Arabidopsis thaliana: one gene and its partner. The protein of the gene in region 2 binds, or shares a complex with, the protein of the main gene of each other region. Each region holds a gene or a part of one and is shown on either strand. Other genes may lie near its edges. A codon is read from its position in the direction of its gene.

Region 1 (7,202 bases), on a different chromosome or scaffold from region 2:
AGGAATAAAAAAAGCAGACCACTATATAAACAACGTGACTCAACCCTGTATTCAAGAGATCGAGAAACATTATTTCCACACCATCTAATTAGAATCAAAGTTCAGTTTCAAAGGGATTAAATCGGCTATAATGTCTAATTATTCACAAACGTTTTCTATCAAACCATGTTTTCCTCTTCAGCAGTTTTCTTATAGACCTGTGTTTGGTAAGTTGTTATTAAGTTTGTTTTATATATATTAGCTAGTGTTTCTTATCATTACTCTTGAGTTTTTTACTAACTTATGTAAGTTGTGAGCAACAGATTTAGCACATCTTCCAGATTTTAGGTCAGCAGCATGTTCCAGTTTATCTTCTTTCATCGTTTTCCAAATTGATTATTATTTTAGGTAAATAAACTTTTATTTTGGTTTATTTACTTTAAAGTTTTTTTTGTTTTTTGTGTTTATTGATTTCTTAGGATATGTTTACCTTCATTGATAATGCAGCGATGATAATTTGGCAAAAGATGAGTACTTGAGATCTCAAATGGATAATCAAGGATGGGTTAATATTTTAACTATTACAGATTTTCCAAGAGTAAGTTAACTTTAGTGAATATTTTATTTTTTTGAAAAATAGAGTGGATAATAATAATCTTAATCGTTTTTTCTTGGCCTTTACAAAAATATAAAAAATAAAAAAAATCAGATCAAAAGCATGACTAATGATATTGAGTTGATATTGCGTTCAATGAAATCATCAGCTACAGTTGAAATCCAGGTAATTTACTAATAATCACACGTAACAAGAGTTCTATAACTTTATCTGTTTTTGTTTTTGTTTTATGTTCTTTCCACCAAGATAGATAATCATGAAATACTAATATTTACTGAATGTTGAAATTAAATTATGTGCAGAATAACAAGCTGAGAAAACGCCAGGGATGGGAGAGGTGGATAAATCCAATGAGGCTCCATATACTGCTACCATAATGAAGAGACTGATAGAGTTTGACTGTTTGATATCAATCGTTTGTTACTAAAATATTATGTCGTTTGTGGTTACTAAAACAATTATAATCTTTGTTCTATTGTAGACCTTCTACATGTCTTTGGATTTCTAAATATTGTTTATGCCAACTCACATACTACATAGTTAAATAAAAGAGAAATTATAATAAATATGTCCTGAAGACTGAAAAATTAGGTGGCGGAATTGTTGACTATTTCAACAGTAAAATAACTGATGAAGTTACTTTATTATACATTTGTATTTTTTGTTTTTTAAATAAAATTTCACATCTTATTTTTATTACTAAATATTTTCATTGTTATCAGGTTATCCTCGTTAACAATTATTGAAAAATATTATGTATAAATTATATGTTAGAGTAAATATTATTCATATATCAAATATTTTAACGTTTTTATATAAATATTATTCCGTTATATAATATGTTAGCATGTTATTATTCTATATATCATGTTGTTATAATTATTATCATCTTAATTATGTAAGAAAAAGTCTAATTTCCTTCTATTGTTTTGAATATACATAAATAAAAAATAAAGATTTACAATTTTAAATCGATAACTATTTTTTTAACAAATAATTTATAAATTTATCGTGATATCACAGTTTTTAGCACGTTAAACAAATAGCTATATGCTTATTATCCGCAAATTACAATTAATTTTATTCAATAGCATTTTTGTAATTAATGTAAAAAAAGATATTTTTAGTTTATATATTATTTATCTTTCATACTTACCAAAATAACTAATATTTATGCATAGATTCTTAATTTCTTCATCTTCCATGCATATCAATTAATATAGCTCTAAATAAAAACCCAAAAGCTTATGCTATTTGCATCGTTGACATGAGCTTGCATATTTCACGACGTCCATGCCAAAACCCTGTAATACCAGACTTAGTGTTGAAATAATAATGTATAAATGAGATAATACAACATCAATCCGTTATCGTCCAGCGGTTAGGATATCTGGCTTTCACCCAGGAGACCCGGGTTCGATTCCCGGTAACGGAGCTTTTTGTTCTCTTTTTTTTTTTCTTTTTTGTGATAAACCACTTTCTTTTGATGCTGAGACATATGCGGCCACGAAAGAGACTGATTTCAATTAATTTGATCATATGATTAATCTTAATGAAAGAGATGACATATCTGATATTAGATCAAAATTACAATACTTTTACATGTTTTTGGCAATCTCTTTAAGCAATGACTTTATAATCTTCCCAGTGGAAGTCTTTGGTAACTCTTCAAGAAACGAGACCGTTTTAGGAGCCATGTAACGTGGCATTTTATATTTGCAATACTCTATAATCTCCTTATCCGTTGGTTTCCGGGTCAACCCGGGTTTTAAACTAACAAAAGCACACGGCGTCTCTCCCCAAAACTCGTCAGGTCTAGCCACCACCGCCGCTTCATTCACCGCCGGATTCGTGTACAACACCGCCTCCACTTCCACACTACTCACATTCTCTCCTCCTGAAATAATCACATCTTTCGATCTATCTTTAATCTCTAAGTAACCATCCCCGTGAATCACACCGAGGTCTCCGGTGAAGAACCACCCGTTTTTAAACGAATTTTGAGTTCCGATCGGATTTTTTAAGTATCCGAGCATGATTGAACTCCCTCTCAACACTATTTCTCCGACTGTTTCTCCGTCTCTCTCCACGCTCCGACCTGATTCTGGATCCACTACATCGATTTCGCTAAATCCGACGGTTCTCACTCCTTGCCGTGATTTCAATTGCGCTTGATCACTCGCCGGTAACCGATTCCAGTTTGGCTTCCACGCGCAGGAGACGATCACACCGGCTGTCTCCGTTAATCCGTAACCGTGACTGACGATGAAACCTAGAGACTCGGCGCGGAGAAGCACCGTAGCTGGCGGAGAAGAACCGGCGGTTAAGAAATTGACCGGACTCTTAAGAGGCTGATCAGATTCTTGACTCGCCGATAGAATCTGAAGCACTATTGGTGCGCCGTACATGTGAGTCACGCCGTGATCACGGATTAGATGGTATATTGACGGCGCGTGGAGTTTACGCACACAGACGTTAGTTCCTCCGACGGCGGCGATTCCCCATGGATAGGTCCAACCGTTGGCGTGAAATATCGGTAAGGTCCATAAGTAAACCGGGGTTTTCGGTACGGCCCAATCGGTTAGGGAATCAAGCGTCATGACGAATATACCCCTGTGGCAATGAACCACTCCTTTAGGAGACGACGTCGTACCTGATGTGTAATTGACCACAATCGGGTCCCATTCACTTCCGGGTCGGATCCATTTAAAATCCGGATTCCCTCTAGTGATTAGATCACTGTACAAGTAACAGAATTTTGAACGCTCCGTTACTTCAGCTCCTCCTTCTTCCTCCTCCTCATTGGCGATTAGGACGAGAATCGGCGGATTGAGCAACATCGTGATCGCTTCGACAGCGAGATCGGAGTAAAAGAAGTCGACGAAGAGCAGCTTAGACTCGCAATGGCGGAGAAGAACAGAGACGGTTCGCGCGTCGAGGCGGGTATTGATGTTGTTAAGGATCGCGCCAGACATCGGAACGGAAAACTGGAGCTCGTACATTTCCGGAGTATTAGCAGATAGGACAGAGACAACGTCGGATCTTCCTATTCCAATGGAAGACAGAGCAGACGCGACGCAGAGGCAACGGTGATTCGTTTCTCGCCATGTGTACACGGTGGAATTGCCGTAAACGATGGAGGTACAGTCTCCATACACGGTGGCTGCTCTCTCAAGAAAGCCTAACAGTGTCAATGGTAACGAGTTAGCGGCACTTGGCTTCAAATCTTCCATTTTCTTTAGCTCTTTTCGAGTGACCACAATGTGAGTGTTACTGTATATAAAGAAGATATCTCTTTCAGTCTCATAGTAAAGATAAGATACACAATGACGAGACGAGAGACCACTTGACTAGCCAGACAAACAATTAAAGTAATTATATTGATGTACATGTGATCCACGTTCGGTTGAGTGGAAACTTTGTTTTCTTATATGCAAACAAAGCCCACATGTTATCGAATGTTGACGAATGGGTGATGCTGATTATGTTAGTATTTGAGAAGATGTTGACAAGATACAAATACGTGATGCAGATATTTATGTAAGTAGATGAGCAGGAGCAGGGCATAACTGGTGACCATTGGTTTCAATGAGTAGTCGTCATGATCCTTCACATTCTGCTTGCAGACTCTGCCAAATTCAGTTTCTTTTTATTTACACATGAACATTCCTAAAATGAATCGTGCAAATTAGCATTCTGTGGCGATTGGCAAGACAATTGAAAGAAGTTATTTTGTAAGACAAACCAACATCACTCTTGAAGATTATCTAAAAGCACAAATTATCCATCCCACAAAGAGTAAGAAACATTGGTTCTTGATAAGAAAGAAAGAAGAGGAAGAAGATAGTCATGATTCATGAAGAATATTAAAAAGCAAGTCATCAACAACACTTGAAAACGGCAATAAACATAAGGAAGAAGAAACTGGTTGCTTGCTGCTTTTGATTCTTCTCTCTGAAGATCAATCATTCAAAAGCCCATTGGTTCTCTCTGCGAACCTCTTCCTCTTCCTCTGGTGTGAAGTCGTTCTTAATGTTGAACGTTGTGCGGATCTCTTCTGGAGTCTTTCCTTTGATCATATCCGCAACTGTCTGACATGTTAGATCAAGCAAGTTCTTGATATTCAGGTAATTAGCAGCCTGCACAAGATCCCAAATTCATAACCATTAGATCAAAATCCGAATCCAAAAACACAGATATGATTATAATCCAAATCGATAGATTCAATTAATGATTGGTTCCATAAGAACCCTAACAATATCAATCTCAAGCAGATTCAATTTCTGAAACAAACACCTAAATTTCGAAACCCTAATTTTCCCAAATCGAAAACCCTAGAATCCCAAAATTCAAAATTCGATGGAAAAATCAAATCAGATCGAGAGAAGAAACATACCAGAATGAGTTCAAAGAGAGTAGCTTGATCGATCTTCATAAAATCAGCGTCCCAGGCCTTAAGATCGTCATCGGAGGTAGCAGCACCCTCGACGGCCTCGGCCTTAGAGGCAGCAGCCTCGACGTGCCTCTTGCAATACTCGATCACCTTGGCGAGGATCTTGCTCGTGACGTTAGGAAGAGGGACTCCGTTGTCGACGCAGTCGTCTTCAACCATATGCGCTATGGTTTGTGACTCGAGAGCCACCGCCTCCTCAACCTCGAAAGATTCACCATCGGAACTCTTCAACACAATCTTCTTCGCAGACATGGTTATGGAAACGAAGAGAGAAGAGAAAGATTTTAGATTTGGGAGATTTGTTCTTTGAAGAAAATTTTGGAGAAGCGATGAATGAAATAAAGAGATGCGTCTCTCTTTATATATAAAACAATCCCTAATTTTGATAAGTCGGTCGATTGTTAAAAAGTCGCAAGTTTAGGGAAATTAGGAAATTGTTTCAAATTTTGTTTTTCTAAAAGAAAAATAGAAATCAATCCTATTGATTTTAAATTTTGTTTTCAATAGTTGAAATTAATGAAATTAGGACTCTGTTCTATTTTTCTTTTGGAAATATTAACTTTGATCCGTTTAATTCGTTGTATTTATCTCATTATTAATAATATATGATTTTATATATATTTTTTTTCCATCCAGCTCCATAATTGTCAAAAAAAGTAAAAGAACCAAAAATCACCGTAGGATAAGTATTAGTCAATCAAATCAGCTTTGTCAGCTTTAAGATCATGTTTTTTGAACATTTATTTTTATTTTATATTAAGTTAATATTAATATGTCATAATAAATAATATATCTAACTAGTTTTTGGTCAAGAGTCATACAATATTTTAGGCCTGGGATAACGGTTCAACCCGAGAAAACCGAACCGAAAAAAACGAAAATTTTGGTTTTCGGCAGCAACCGAATTAAGGAGATCGAACCGATCGGCCAAATTAATTTAAGAATTCGGAAGTCGGTTCGGGTCGGTTCGGTAATCGGAACCAATCGGTTTCACCCATACCGAGAATCTGCAGCCATATATAAGGTTAATTGATGAGTCTTAACCTAATTAGGTTTCTTCTTCGTTTTTGGCTCTCTGCCTCTTGCGAAAACAACAAAGAAACTTTGATATTTTTCTTCGATTGAATTAGTAATCATCAACTCGTCTCTTCTCCTTCATGAATTCATCATCTTCCAAGCCTCTTTCATTCTCTCTAATCTCAGTTGGTCTTACAAAAAACCTTTGCTCAGAGATTCAACCCACAACCTCAACTTTCTTAGGGTAAACTCTTCTTATTTCTCTTTAATCATTTGTTTTGTTTGATTCTTTGCTCTCTAAGCTCTTCCTCTGTCTCTATAATTTCTGAAATTTTAGAGTTAGGCTTTACACTTCCAAATCTGAGATTATCCATTATTTTTATGGATCTTTTATGGTTTACACTTCCATCTCATGTTTTTTCTTACTTCATGGATAACAAACGGGCGTTTAACAGGTCTCGTAGGGCATTACGTCGTCGGAATGGTAGATCACTAGATTGGAGAGGCACTGCTCGACGTCGCAGTTTGGAGTTGTAGTCGTACATATTTTTTTTGTCAAAACTCAAAACCCTAATTTTGTAATGGACCTGACCCATAATTGTGTTGTGGATTTGTAATTGTAACTGTATATTTGTGTATTGGGCCTGTTGTTTGTTTTTTATTAGATTTCATTTTTGTAAGTCCATTTTTTTAATTTGTGGTTTATTTGGTTCAAATTAACCGAATTAGAAAAAAAATCGGTTTAATCCGGAATTTAATTTATACCCAATAACCGAACCGAAAAAACCGATGTCCGAACCGACCCGAACCGAATTTTTGTTCGGTTCAATTCGGCTAGAAATTAAAAAATCCAAAAACCCCGAAAAACTAAATAAACCGAACCGATTAAACCGATATATCCGAACTCCCAGGGCTACAATATTTATATAATGCTGTGGATTTTATTCTCTCTTTCATTTATTTCTTAATGGGTAATATATATTCTTAGATATAATATTCAACTTTGTTTTGTTTTCTTTTCTAGTTATAACTAATCATATACATCAAGATAAGGTGTATGATTTATATGCTTACTTATATGATTATATGGTAACTTTTTTGAAATGCATTCAGTTTTTTTAGTTATAACGTATTTTA
Region 2 (9,457 bases):
AAGGTCAGTTAATGTATTACGAGGATAAAATGCTTCTTTCAATTGTTTGAGACATGAGATATGGAAGAGTAAGTGTCACAGTGTATAAGGGTTTCATGCCAAATGTGATGTAATTATTAGTGGTTATTCATCTTTCTGCTGACCCTTAGAATATGCTCTAATCAATTGAAAATGGGACAGCCTATGTGATCTGCCTGTACTAGCTAACTGAAGTGTATAGTAACCTACTAGCCTGTATTAGCAATGAACATGGAAGTCTTAAACTTACTATCCAATAGACAACACATGAGACAACAATAATGAATATTCAGTTCTCGTGGTAGTTCCCATTAGTGTGTGCACTGTGCTGGATATCTATCTTCGTTGTGAATTTGATATGGTATAGTAACATTTTTGTCCATTTCAGTTTCGGGATGTTGTGAGACAGTTCATAAAAGGCACCGATGGCTTTTCTGGTGCTTTTGCTGAATGTCTCTGTGGAAGCCCAAATCTGTACCAGGTAAATTTAACTCCTATTATACTGGGGTATCTGGATATATAACTAATCTTTATGGTGTTCTCTTGGTTGTTTTGTCTGTGAAGCTTCATATTTTGGTTGTATATCTTATCGATATCTGATTGTGTCTGTGCATCAGGGAGGTAGGAAACCTTGGCACAGCATCAATTTTATATGTGCGCATGATGGTTTTACGTTGGCAGATTTAGTAACTTACAACAATAAGAATAACTTGGCAAATGGAGAAGAGAATAATGATGGAGAGAATCACAATTACAGCTGGAACTGTGGAGAGGTAAGATATTAATCTTTGTTTTCTCTTTCATCAGCTATGTGAATTCAGTCTCATATTATATCATACGACTTTTTGTAGAATGTTTATAAGCTGAAATGAAATGGCTATTGCACTTTTACCTAAACTAAAAAGGCTTCATTTGATTGGGCTGCAGGAGGGAGACTTTGCGAGTATCTCGGTGAAGAGACTAAGGAAACGACAGATGCGGAATTTCTTTGTTTCCCTCATGGTTTCCCAAGTAAAGCTAACCATTTGTTGCTTCTTTAATTTTAATTCCTGCTCAAAGCTCGTTTCACTGATGTTATGCACATTGAACTATGATACTGGAGTAGAGGGCATGAGTTCAAAATATAAATTAATAAGCCACAAGAGAATCTAAATCCACTAGCAATTAAGTACTATGCACTGTTTGTTTGCCTTTGCAACATGTTAAGTTGTGACTGGTAATGGCATGGTGTCATGCAAAGAATATGTATTAAGGGTACTGCTTTGTCAGATTGTGATGCTCCGGTTTTCATTGAAATTAGTGTATTGCTTAACCTTTTCCTTTTCTGTCTTTCTGAACTATTAATCACCAGGGTGTCCCAATGATTTACATGGGAGATGAATATGGCCATACTAAAGGGGGAAACAACAACACGTATTGCCATGACAACTATGTAAACCCCTTATGCTTTGCTTCCAGGGTGATTATAAGTAATTTTTTCGATCTTAGCTTTCCGACATTAACACAACTCTGATGCAGATGAACTATTTTCGGTGGGATAAAAAGGAAGAAGCACATTCTGACTTCTTCAGATTCTGCCGTATTCTTATCAAGTTTCGTGAGTATGTAATCTTCTTTCATGAGTCTATCGATCTTAATTGCTTAGTTGATCGCTTCACTTAGTCTCAAATCCAATAATTGACATGCTTCTTCCTTTTCACCTACTGCTATGTGTTTTCTTTCTTTTGCAATCCCCTGTTTCTCGGGTTTCCTCTGATCGATGGCCATTATGACTGTATTGTAGTGAATGTGAATCACTTGGCTTGAATGATTTCCCAACAGCAAAGCGTCTGCAGTGGCATGGTCTTGCTCCTGAGATCCCAAATTGGTCTGAAACAAGTCGATTTGTTGCATTTTCACTGGTACCATTTTCTCATACCCCTTCTCTTACATGGACAGTTTCCTTAGTGGGTGATATTAATCCCTTTTGTTTTTCGGTAGGTCGATTCTGTGAAGAAAGAAATCTATGTGGCCTTCAACACCAGTCATTTAGCCACACTTGTTTCGCTACCGAATAGGCCAGGATACCGATGGGAGCCATTTGTAGACACGAGCAAACCGAGCCCTTACGACTGCATAACACCGGATCTCCCAGAGAGAGAAACGGCGATGAAGCAGTATAGGCACTTCTTAGATGCAAATGTGTACCCAATGCTCAGTTACTCATCCATCATTCTCCTTCTTTCACCAATTAAAGACCCCTGAGTTTGCGTGATTCCTCCAAAAGCGTATTAGACAAAATCACAACATATGAAGGAATCTTCTCAAATGTGAATGAGATGCATATACAGACAACTATTTCGTTACCTATATAATGTATTATAGTAAAGGTTCCTTTTATGGTTAGAAGAATCTGAATGGGGTACCTTTGGTCGGCTTCAGATATGCCCACTCATTGTTAATAGATTCCTTTATCGTCTGTTAATCCAATCAAAAGCTTGTTACATCGTTTTCAGAATTCGTGTAAGAACAAGAAATCAAAGTTTTCATCTATAAAGTTATAAATGATTATTAGTACTCTATTATTTGCCTTTTTACTAATGTTATCAAAACAATCACAACCACAAATAAAGTTTCAGATGCCAATCCAAACAAATATAGCTCTCAGAAGTCAACACCATGGACGATAAAGAAATCTCTCAAAATCTTCGGGGTTTTATTAAAGAAATTAAAGTAAACAGACCCCTGAGGAAAAATAAAGAAGTAATGACCATACAACAAACAAGACTGACTCTATGTAATCTCCCAAAAACATCGACGACACAACATGAAACAAAAAAAGAACCAAAGTAGTATAGTACACAGTTTGTGGAAACCCCAAAACTCGAGACTAAAAATCTTTATATACAAACCTGTTTTTTGGGTCATATCATATTGGCTCCTTCAGGACTCTAACAGTTGTTGGACAATCTGTTCTCTGGCCAGCCAGAGAGTAGTAAGCCAATATATGAGCCGGATGCTCCATCTCTCTTATCTCTCCTTGTTGATTCACTTCCGGGACTCTTCTTGATGGAATCAGCTCGATGTTCCAGTACGGTCTAGCCATCTGCATTAGATCTTGTCCCGTCATCGATGCTCTGTAACCTTGTACCCACAAGTATCTCAGTGAAGGCAATTTTGTAACCGCTGCAGCGATTGCTCGCTCACTGAAGCAACAACCTCTCATCTCTAGCTTCTGTAGATTTGGACAGCCTCTTGAGAATTCCATTAAACCTTCATCTGATTCACCTACGTAACCCAGCAGCATCCATCTCACGTTTGGACTGTACTGTCCGATGTAGCTTAAGCCCAAGTCGGTTAAGCCGCCTTGTCTCAGATAGAATGCAAATCGTCTGAGTTTCTTGCATCCAATCAAAAGAGATCGGACTCCGTTGTCCAGTGGCAGATCTGTAATCCTTTCTTCCCGGTCGAGTAAGACAAGGCGGAAGTCACAGAGGTTTTTCAGATATGTGCCTATGCTTTCAAGAGATTCGTTAGTTATATCTGAGACATACACCGCCATGTATTCTAGCTCCTGGCAGCCCTGAGCCAAAGCGATTAATCCTCTTTGTGAGACTAAGCCTTCTTCGTCCTCCATTCCTTGTTCATCTGCACCGCGTTCAATCCTCAGCCGCTTCAACTGCTTACAGTACTGTGCAAGGACCTCTAGACCCCTATCTCCGATTACATTCCTTGTCTGAAGAAAAACAACAAGTGTTGTCAGTCTTATATAGATGTAAAGACTAAAGAGAACCAATATTGCATTCATATCCCTTATCTCCCCAAATATTTCGTGAAAAAATAGGAACACAATTTAGTACTAAGGACGCATTCCCAAGTATGTAGTAAAGACAGCAAAGTTAAACGTTTACCTCGAGAACTTCCAAATTAGGACACTTTTGGATAAGCGTACAATGGTCTTCAGTTTCTAGCAATGCATAAAGCAAATCCAGCTTTCGGATTTGGGCCGCGAATGGAAATAGTATTGGCATTTCATTAGGTCCCATGTAAGAGAGACCAAGCCGACATAGTTTTCGGGGAAAAACCAGATTCATGTACTTCTCAGGCATTCCAATATCCTCATTCAAGGAGCCACCACAAAATTCTTCAAGATTAGCTGCAGCCTTAAAGAACCCAACTAGTTCCAAAATCTCAAAGTCACCGACCTTCACAGATACCAGAGAGCGGCAATTTCTAGCTATGGTTTCCAAGTCTTTGGGACTGATTTTGGCAAACTCCGTCATGTAGAAGTTTAAAACCTCAAGAGATGTGTTGTGCTGAGCAAGCTCATGAAGCCACTTACCATCCTTTTCACTAAAAGAACTCTCTTCCATTAACAAAGTTTTTATTTTCCTGGACAAGACAACAGACAGTTGCATGAATAAAGTGAGAAACAACTCAAGATATTTGGATTTCCCGCTAAAACTGAATATGAAGAACAGCAGCAGCCGAATCAAGGATTCAAAAACCAAATAATACACATAAACTCTGGCAGACTGAAGATGTCAGAAATCAATCTTTTTGCTATTTATGCATAAACAAAGTGAATGTTCCCCAAAGAGGGAAAAAATTGGTTGTAGATAAAATCCGGATCAAAGTTTATACTTCCCCAATTGAGAAATAACTGAAGATCATTGCAATTTCTGCTTTAATAGCAAGCATAACAGTTGCAAAGCAATTAAGGATATAAGACAAACATGAACGCCTAAATACTGAAACTTTCTGAAATAAATGTTTCTGCTTATATTACTCTTAGTGTAAAGTGTACTAAGAAATCAAATGAAGTAAGGTTCACCAATTTCATTAAGGACAAAAAGTATCCACCAAAGTTACAACTTACCCAATTGAGCTAAAGAAGATCAAATCTTTACAAACACAAACTCAAGATATGGTTCTTTGTACAACGACGACTTATTAAGTTTTTTAAAAAGAGCCAAATGCATCTAGAGTTCTAGTCAAAGTAGGAAATGATAAGGAGTCGCTAAACCTCAAAAGCATCGAGCCAAAGTAGCTACAAGATACTGAGAAGTAAGTGTACCTGCAGTGTGTAACGATGCTCAAAAGTCCATCAGTAGTAAAACCAGAACACTTGTCTAGCTTCAAAGTCTCAAGATCATCTGCTCTAGCTTTAGCTAAACGATCTAGATCTAAGTCACTGACAATCATCCGTCGGAAGTGCACCGATTTGAGCTGCCTAAGGTTGTTAGAAATCTCAGTAACCCAAGGAGTAACATAACCTCCCCAGTTCTCAGGGATCAGATTAAACATAGCTGCTCTAGGCTTGCCTTTAAGCTTGAGCGACCTCAAGTTCGGGAATCGACGGCTAAGACGATCAGGCGTCGCAGTGTAGCAAAGCGCCATAGTCACATGCTCTCTCGTCTCGGAATCAATCTTGAACCATCTCCGACACACCAAAGAAGCCGAATCGCGATCTTTCGGGTCAGTTATATAGGTCATGACTTGCTCGATGACATCATCAACCGTCGCGACGCAGCTCAATTTACACCTCTTGATATCAGGATCCTCCATCGGATCGAAAAAAAAACAAAAGAAAAAAACAAACGAATCCTGGAAAGATTCGATTTAGAGAAGAAACCGACGACTTCGAATTGAAATCGAGGTCGCAGATCCACACATAACCACCAGAGTGAGAAGAAAGAAGTAAGAAAGGAAAGATCCGGTGAATCGGAGAAGACTAGAGATTGAGAGAGTGAGGGAGAAGAAGACACGCGTAGGAAGAAGAGGCGGATTGGGAGGAAGAAGAAGAAAGTGGGACGATGGAATCAAATTTTGTTTGGTTAATAATATTTTTGAGGATCAAGTGGGACGATCATTATTTCATACACTGAAGTTGACGGTCGAGATGCGATCTTCTCTCTACTTCTATGTTTTTCTTTTCATTTTTGCAGTGGTCAGATCTCAGCTACACGACAATATTATTAGAATATTTAACTGATCCAATAAGCTGTGTGATTTATTCGATGGATAGATTTAATTATTTCTTTATAGAGTATTAATAACCTGAATCCTAAGCAAAAAATTTAAAAATACTAAATACTAGTATATGTTATCTTTGGTTGCTTTATATGTGATTAAAATAAAAATACAATAATTCTCCTTTCTTTTGTAAGATAAAAATTTTCTACAGTATTAGTAGCTTTTAATGAGGAAAAAAAAAGTTGTTGACTGCATGAATTTATATGGTCCATAATATGGTTAACTATATATTATGGACCATATGAATATAAGTATATAACAAAAAACTACATTTAATGATGTATGATTTTCAAGGTTTATTTGGTACAAGTTCAACATCAATTGTCGAAAGAAAGCGCTCAAAATGGTACTTTTGGAACAAAGACTATTTACATGTCTTTTTTTTAACGTCTTTGGGATTAAATCATTCAGCAACAAGACTTAAAAAGCAGCAAATTATTAACTTTTAGTGCTTATTACAGTTGCGAAAAGAACCAATCACATTGAAATTTCTTTCAGTGACAAAAGTTTTTCCAATAGAAAAAAAAAGCTCAGGAAAAGTATTAGAAAGAACAACAATGACTATGAATAAGGAGGGAACCATGAAAGAAAATGAATACTGCAAAAGAACTTTTTTATTATGATCGTATTTCTTAGCTTCATTTGAAACTCGGAAATAACAAAGGTAATATAAGCAAGCTACAAAAAACCCGACTAATTACACCTGAAACCAAAAGACTTGGGCTGAACAAAACCAAAAACTAGGCGAGAGATGAGTTTTCTATACACTTAACTCGGACCACACTTACAAAGAACCAAAAAAATTAACCAGAAGTCTCTCTGGGAGGCGCAGGCACTGCTTCGCTTGAGCTCACACTCTCACCACCACCATCTCCTCCCTCAACTGAACTCGGTTGTTGCAACCCAATAGGTGCAAACAAGCTCACACCACTCACATCCCGGCTCACACTGTATAGACCTCTGCTTCCATGATGGTTCAAAGGTGTAGATGTTGTTGCATTGGCTCCGCTTATGAGCAATCGTAGTGTTTCTCTTGCACCTTTCTCGACCAGCGAATCATTCTCCACTGGGAGCGGAGGGATGCCCGTGGATATTATCCCGGTGGGTCCAGCGCTTACCAGATAGCTTTGACCTGAAGAGAAGATATCGATAACTGGAATATGAACAATAGGGTCGCACATTATAGGAATCATCATCTGTTGCTGGGATGATGATGATGATGAGCCTGGAATGGGTATGTGGTGGACTAATGGTAATGGAGGGATGTCAGAGAGATCGAGCGGTGATGACGGGATCAAGAATCCATCTGATCCCGATGCTGGTAATAAGGAGGAAAGTGGCGGAAGGGAAGGTAGCTCAATGGATAGTGGAGGGAACTGATAAGAGGCAGATGGTGCGTGAAGCGATGAAGTGGTTGGAGGGCACCAGCAATAATAAGGAGAAAAGACTGGTGGACCCATCTTCAAAGGAAATGGGGGAGGTCCGGTCATTGTACTTGGTGTTGACTCTGCTTCTTCAAAAGCAATAATTTGTCTGATTCCATTATAATTCTCAGTAGCTTCTTCAACTTCTCCTTCTGACTGGATAAAACCCTCTACATTGGTGGGGATAGAGGTAATGGATGAATTATCAAAGATTGAGAAATGGCCTTCACTGTGTCCCTTTGATTTATCTCTAGAGGAGATACGTAGAGAAGCATTTCTCAGTGTGTTTTCTTTGAAGGAGCTTGCTCTAGGGCTGAGGCTTCCTTGGGTCTTTGTCTGTTGAGTCCCACAGTGGCGTGCTCTAAGAGATTTTGATGATGCACTCGAGGAGGAATCAGCTGTTTCAGAAAAGCCAGAAGATGATGATGAATCAGGAGATGGGACCTGACAACCTTTGATGTTAGGCACCACTGAACCCATGAGATACAAACGGAGATGAGAAGCAACAGAGCCAAGACGTGATTCTTCAATTCCAGTTAATTCTGAGATTGATGGCTTCTTCTTGATCAAGTCTTTCATCTACACAGGATAACAACAGATGATGAGAAAATTTAGATGCACAGACAAGGATTTTAAAACAACACTATTTCACAAACCTTCCTACGCAATTCAGTTCCCAGAAGTTTTGACTTCTCTGAGCACCAATAGTAAAAAGCATTGCCATTTGCGATCCTTATAACAAAAGATCTACCAGAGCTGTCCACAGTTATCTCCTCAATTGACACCGCAGAGCACTGAGATTTGCTGGTATAGGTAAAGAGTTGTTCTGAATGACCATTGTCTCCAATAAATGAGAGTCTCAAGTCAGATGTTGGCAAGACCATAAGGCTCAGGTTACCCCTGACCAATAGGAGATAAAACGTCAAGAAATCAGTCGGAAAAACACTCTAATATCAAAATCAAAAGCACTAACAAATAAACACTAGATGCTGAAAACCAGAAGTTGGATCAAGTCCAAGAGCTTTTAAATGCTTGCAAGTTACCCTTAATTCAAACTACATCAAAAGAATCTACCAGATAAACATGCAGAACTGTTTACAGAACAGCTATGTTATTAGCCTATTACTAATATTCACAAAACATAGGGTACTGCCGGAATAAACATTATGTTCAATAATTTGGTACTTGACACTTTTTAAGACTGTGGCTTAGCTTAACTGAAACTACATTATTCATAACTTAGCATAGGGACCTGCAACTTAGAAGCTAGAACAAAAAAAGATGATAACATGATTATCTAAGAGCTTCCTGAAACGAACTTTATATAGATCCATTGTAATAAGTTTGAACAGAATAGTACCACCAGAACACACAAAAGACCTTTTAAATCAAATAAGTAGTAACGATGAGAAAACAAAAAGCTTAAATTTACAAAAAAAATACCATTCAATGAAAGCCATAGCGAGATAATATAAAGTGATTAAGAAGGATATATAGTCAGTGATGTTATGACAAAACAGAGAGAAAATTAAAGCCCTATATGACTAGAAATCAAGAACATACTACACAACATTGGTGATGAAACTACCTTTACTTCATCATCTACCAGAGATCATAACAGATTACGCCCACATTACCTACAATAAAAGATACATTTTATTTGGAAGCATGAACAGTATCACTATACGACTGATTGAGATCCTATGATTTCTAAAATTTTAACTAAACCAACGCAAATTATGGATAGACCTTATTACTGAAAGCTAGATATACATTGATACAAACATAACTAACCATATGAACTAAGACTATGTAATACCCCAACCTCCAAAGTGTTAGCACATAAAGAACTGCAAAAGGTCAGTAAAACAGAGATACAACCATTCATATGAAAATAGGTATAGTATTTGATAAAATGAGACCAAACATGGAGAAACTCAGCGAGAGAGTATCAATAAAACTAAAGCAGGAATTGTATGTGTGCACCCAAAAAACTTACT

What was found.
Region 1: the proteins of COI1 (region 2) and SKP1 are in contact, whole or in part, in a crystal structure (PDB 3OGK), measured with the Arabidopsis thaliana proteins. Residues at the interface, in NP_565919.1 of Arabidopsis thaliana: Cys13 (codon at 5,529), Val14 (codon at 5,526), Ala15 (codon at 5,523), Thr16 (codon at 5,520), Val17 (codon at 5,517), Asp19 (codon at 5,511), Val20 (codon at 5,508), Gln23 (codon at 5,499), Val24 (codon at 5,496), Tyr27 (codon at 5,487), Ile28 (codon at 5,484), Thr29 (codon at 5,481), Asp30 (codon at 5,478), Pro31 (codon at 5,475), Asp33 (codon at 5,469), Asp35 (codon at 5,463), Ser36 (codon at 5,460), Ser38 (codon at 5,454), Leu39 (codon at 5,451), Val40 (codon at 5,448), Cys41 (codon at 5,445), Arg42 (codon at 5,442), Trp44 (codon at 5,436), Phe45 (codon at 5,433), Arg52 (codon at 5,412), His54 (codon at 5,406), Val55 (codon at 5,403), Thr56 (codon at 5,400), Met57 (codon at 5,397), Ala58 (codon at 5,394); in NP_565123.1 of Arabidopsis thaliana: Ala96 (codon at 5,015), Phe99 (codon at 5,006), Glu100 (codon at 5,003), Ile102 (codon at 4,997), Leu103 (codon at 4,994), Asn106 (codon at 4,728), Leu114 (codon at 4,704), Asp115 (codon at 4,701), Cys118 (codon at 4,692), Gln119 (codon at 4,689), Val121 (codon at 4,683), Ala122 (codon at 4,680), Ile125 (codon at 4,671), Lys126 (codon at 4,668), Gly127 (codon at 4,665), Lys128 (codon at 4,662), Thr129 (codon at 4,659), Pro130 (codon at 4,656), Ile133 (codon at 4,647), Arg134 (codon at 4,644), Phe137 (codon at 4,635), Ile139 (codon at 4,629), Lys140 (codon at 4,626), Asn141 (codon at 4,623), Asp142 (codon at 4,620), Phe143 (codon at 4,617), Thr144 (codon at 4,614), Glu147 (codon at 4,605), Glu148 (codon at 4,602), Glu150 (codon at 4,596).

The regions. Positions count from the first base shown.
Region 1 is NC_003070.9:28,514,813-28,522,014, reverse strand, and holds SKP1 (S phase kinase-associated protein 1), read right to left. Parts: upstream 5,497-7,202; 5' UTR 5,301-5,496; coding exon 4,992-5,300; intron 4,735-4,991; coding exon 4,561-4,734; 3' UTR 4,119-4,560; downstream 1-4,118. Other genes in the region: AT1G75960 (AMP-dependent synthetase and ligase family protein), read right to left, coding at 2,194-3,828; AT1G75945 (uncharacterized protein), read left to right, coding at 6,206-6,309, 6,521-6,602. UniProt on the Arabidopsis thaliana protein: Involved in ubiquitination and subsequent proteasomal degradation of target proteins. Together with CUL1, RBX1 and a F-box protein, it forms a SCF E3 ubiquitin ligase complex. The functional specificity of this complex depends on the type of F-box protein.
Region 2 is NC_003071.7:16,669,922-16,679,378, forward strand, and holds COI1 (RNI-like superfamily protein), read right to left. Parts: upstream 5,944-9,457; 5' UTR 5,566-5,943; coding exon 5,075-5,565; intron 4,390-5,074; coding exon 3,909-4,389; intron 3,734-3,908; coding exon 2,927-3,733; 3' UTR 2,572-2,926; downstream 1-2,571. Other genes in the region: ISA1 (isoamylase 1), read left to right, coding at 1-3, 407-499, 636-791, 946-1,029, 1,370-1,450, 1,537-1,619, 1,802-1,919, 1,999-2,262; AT2G39950 (flocculation protein), read right to left, coding at 6,837-8,036, 8,114-8,357. UniProt on the Arabidopsis thaliana protein: Required for jasmonate-regulated plant fertility and defense processes, and for coronatine and/or other elicitors perceptions/responses. Seems to not be required for meiosis. Required for the regulation of some genes induced by wounding, but not for all.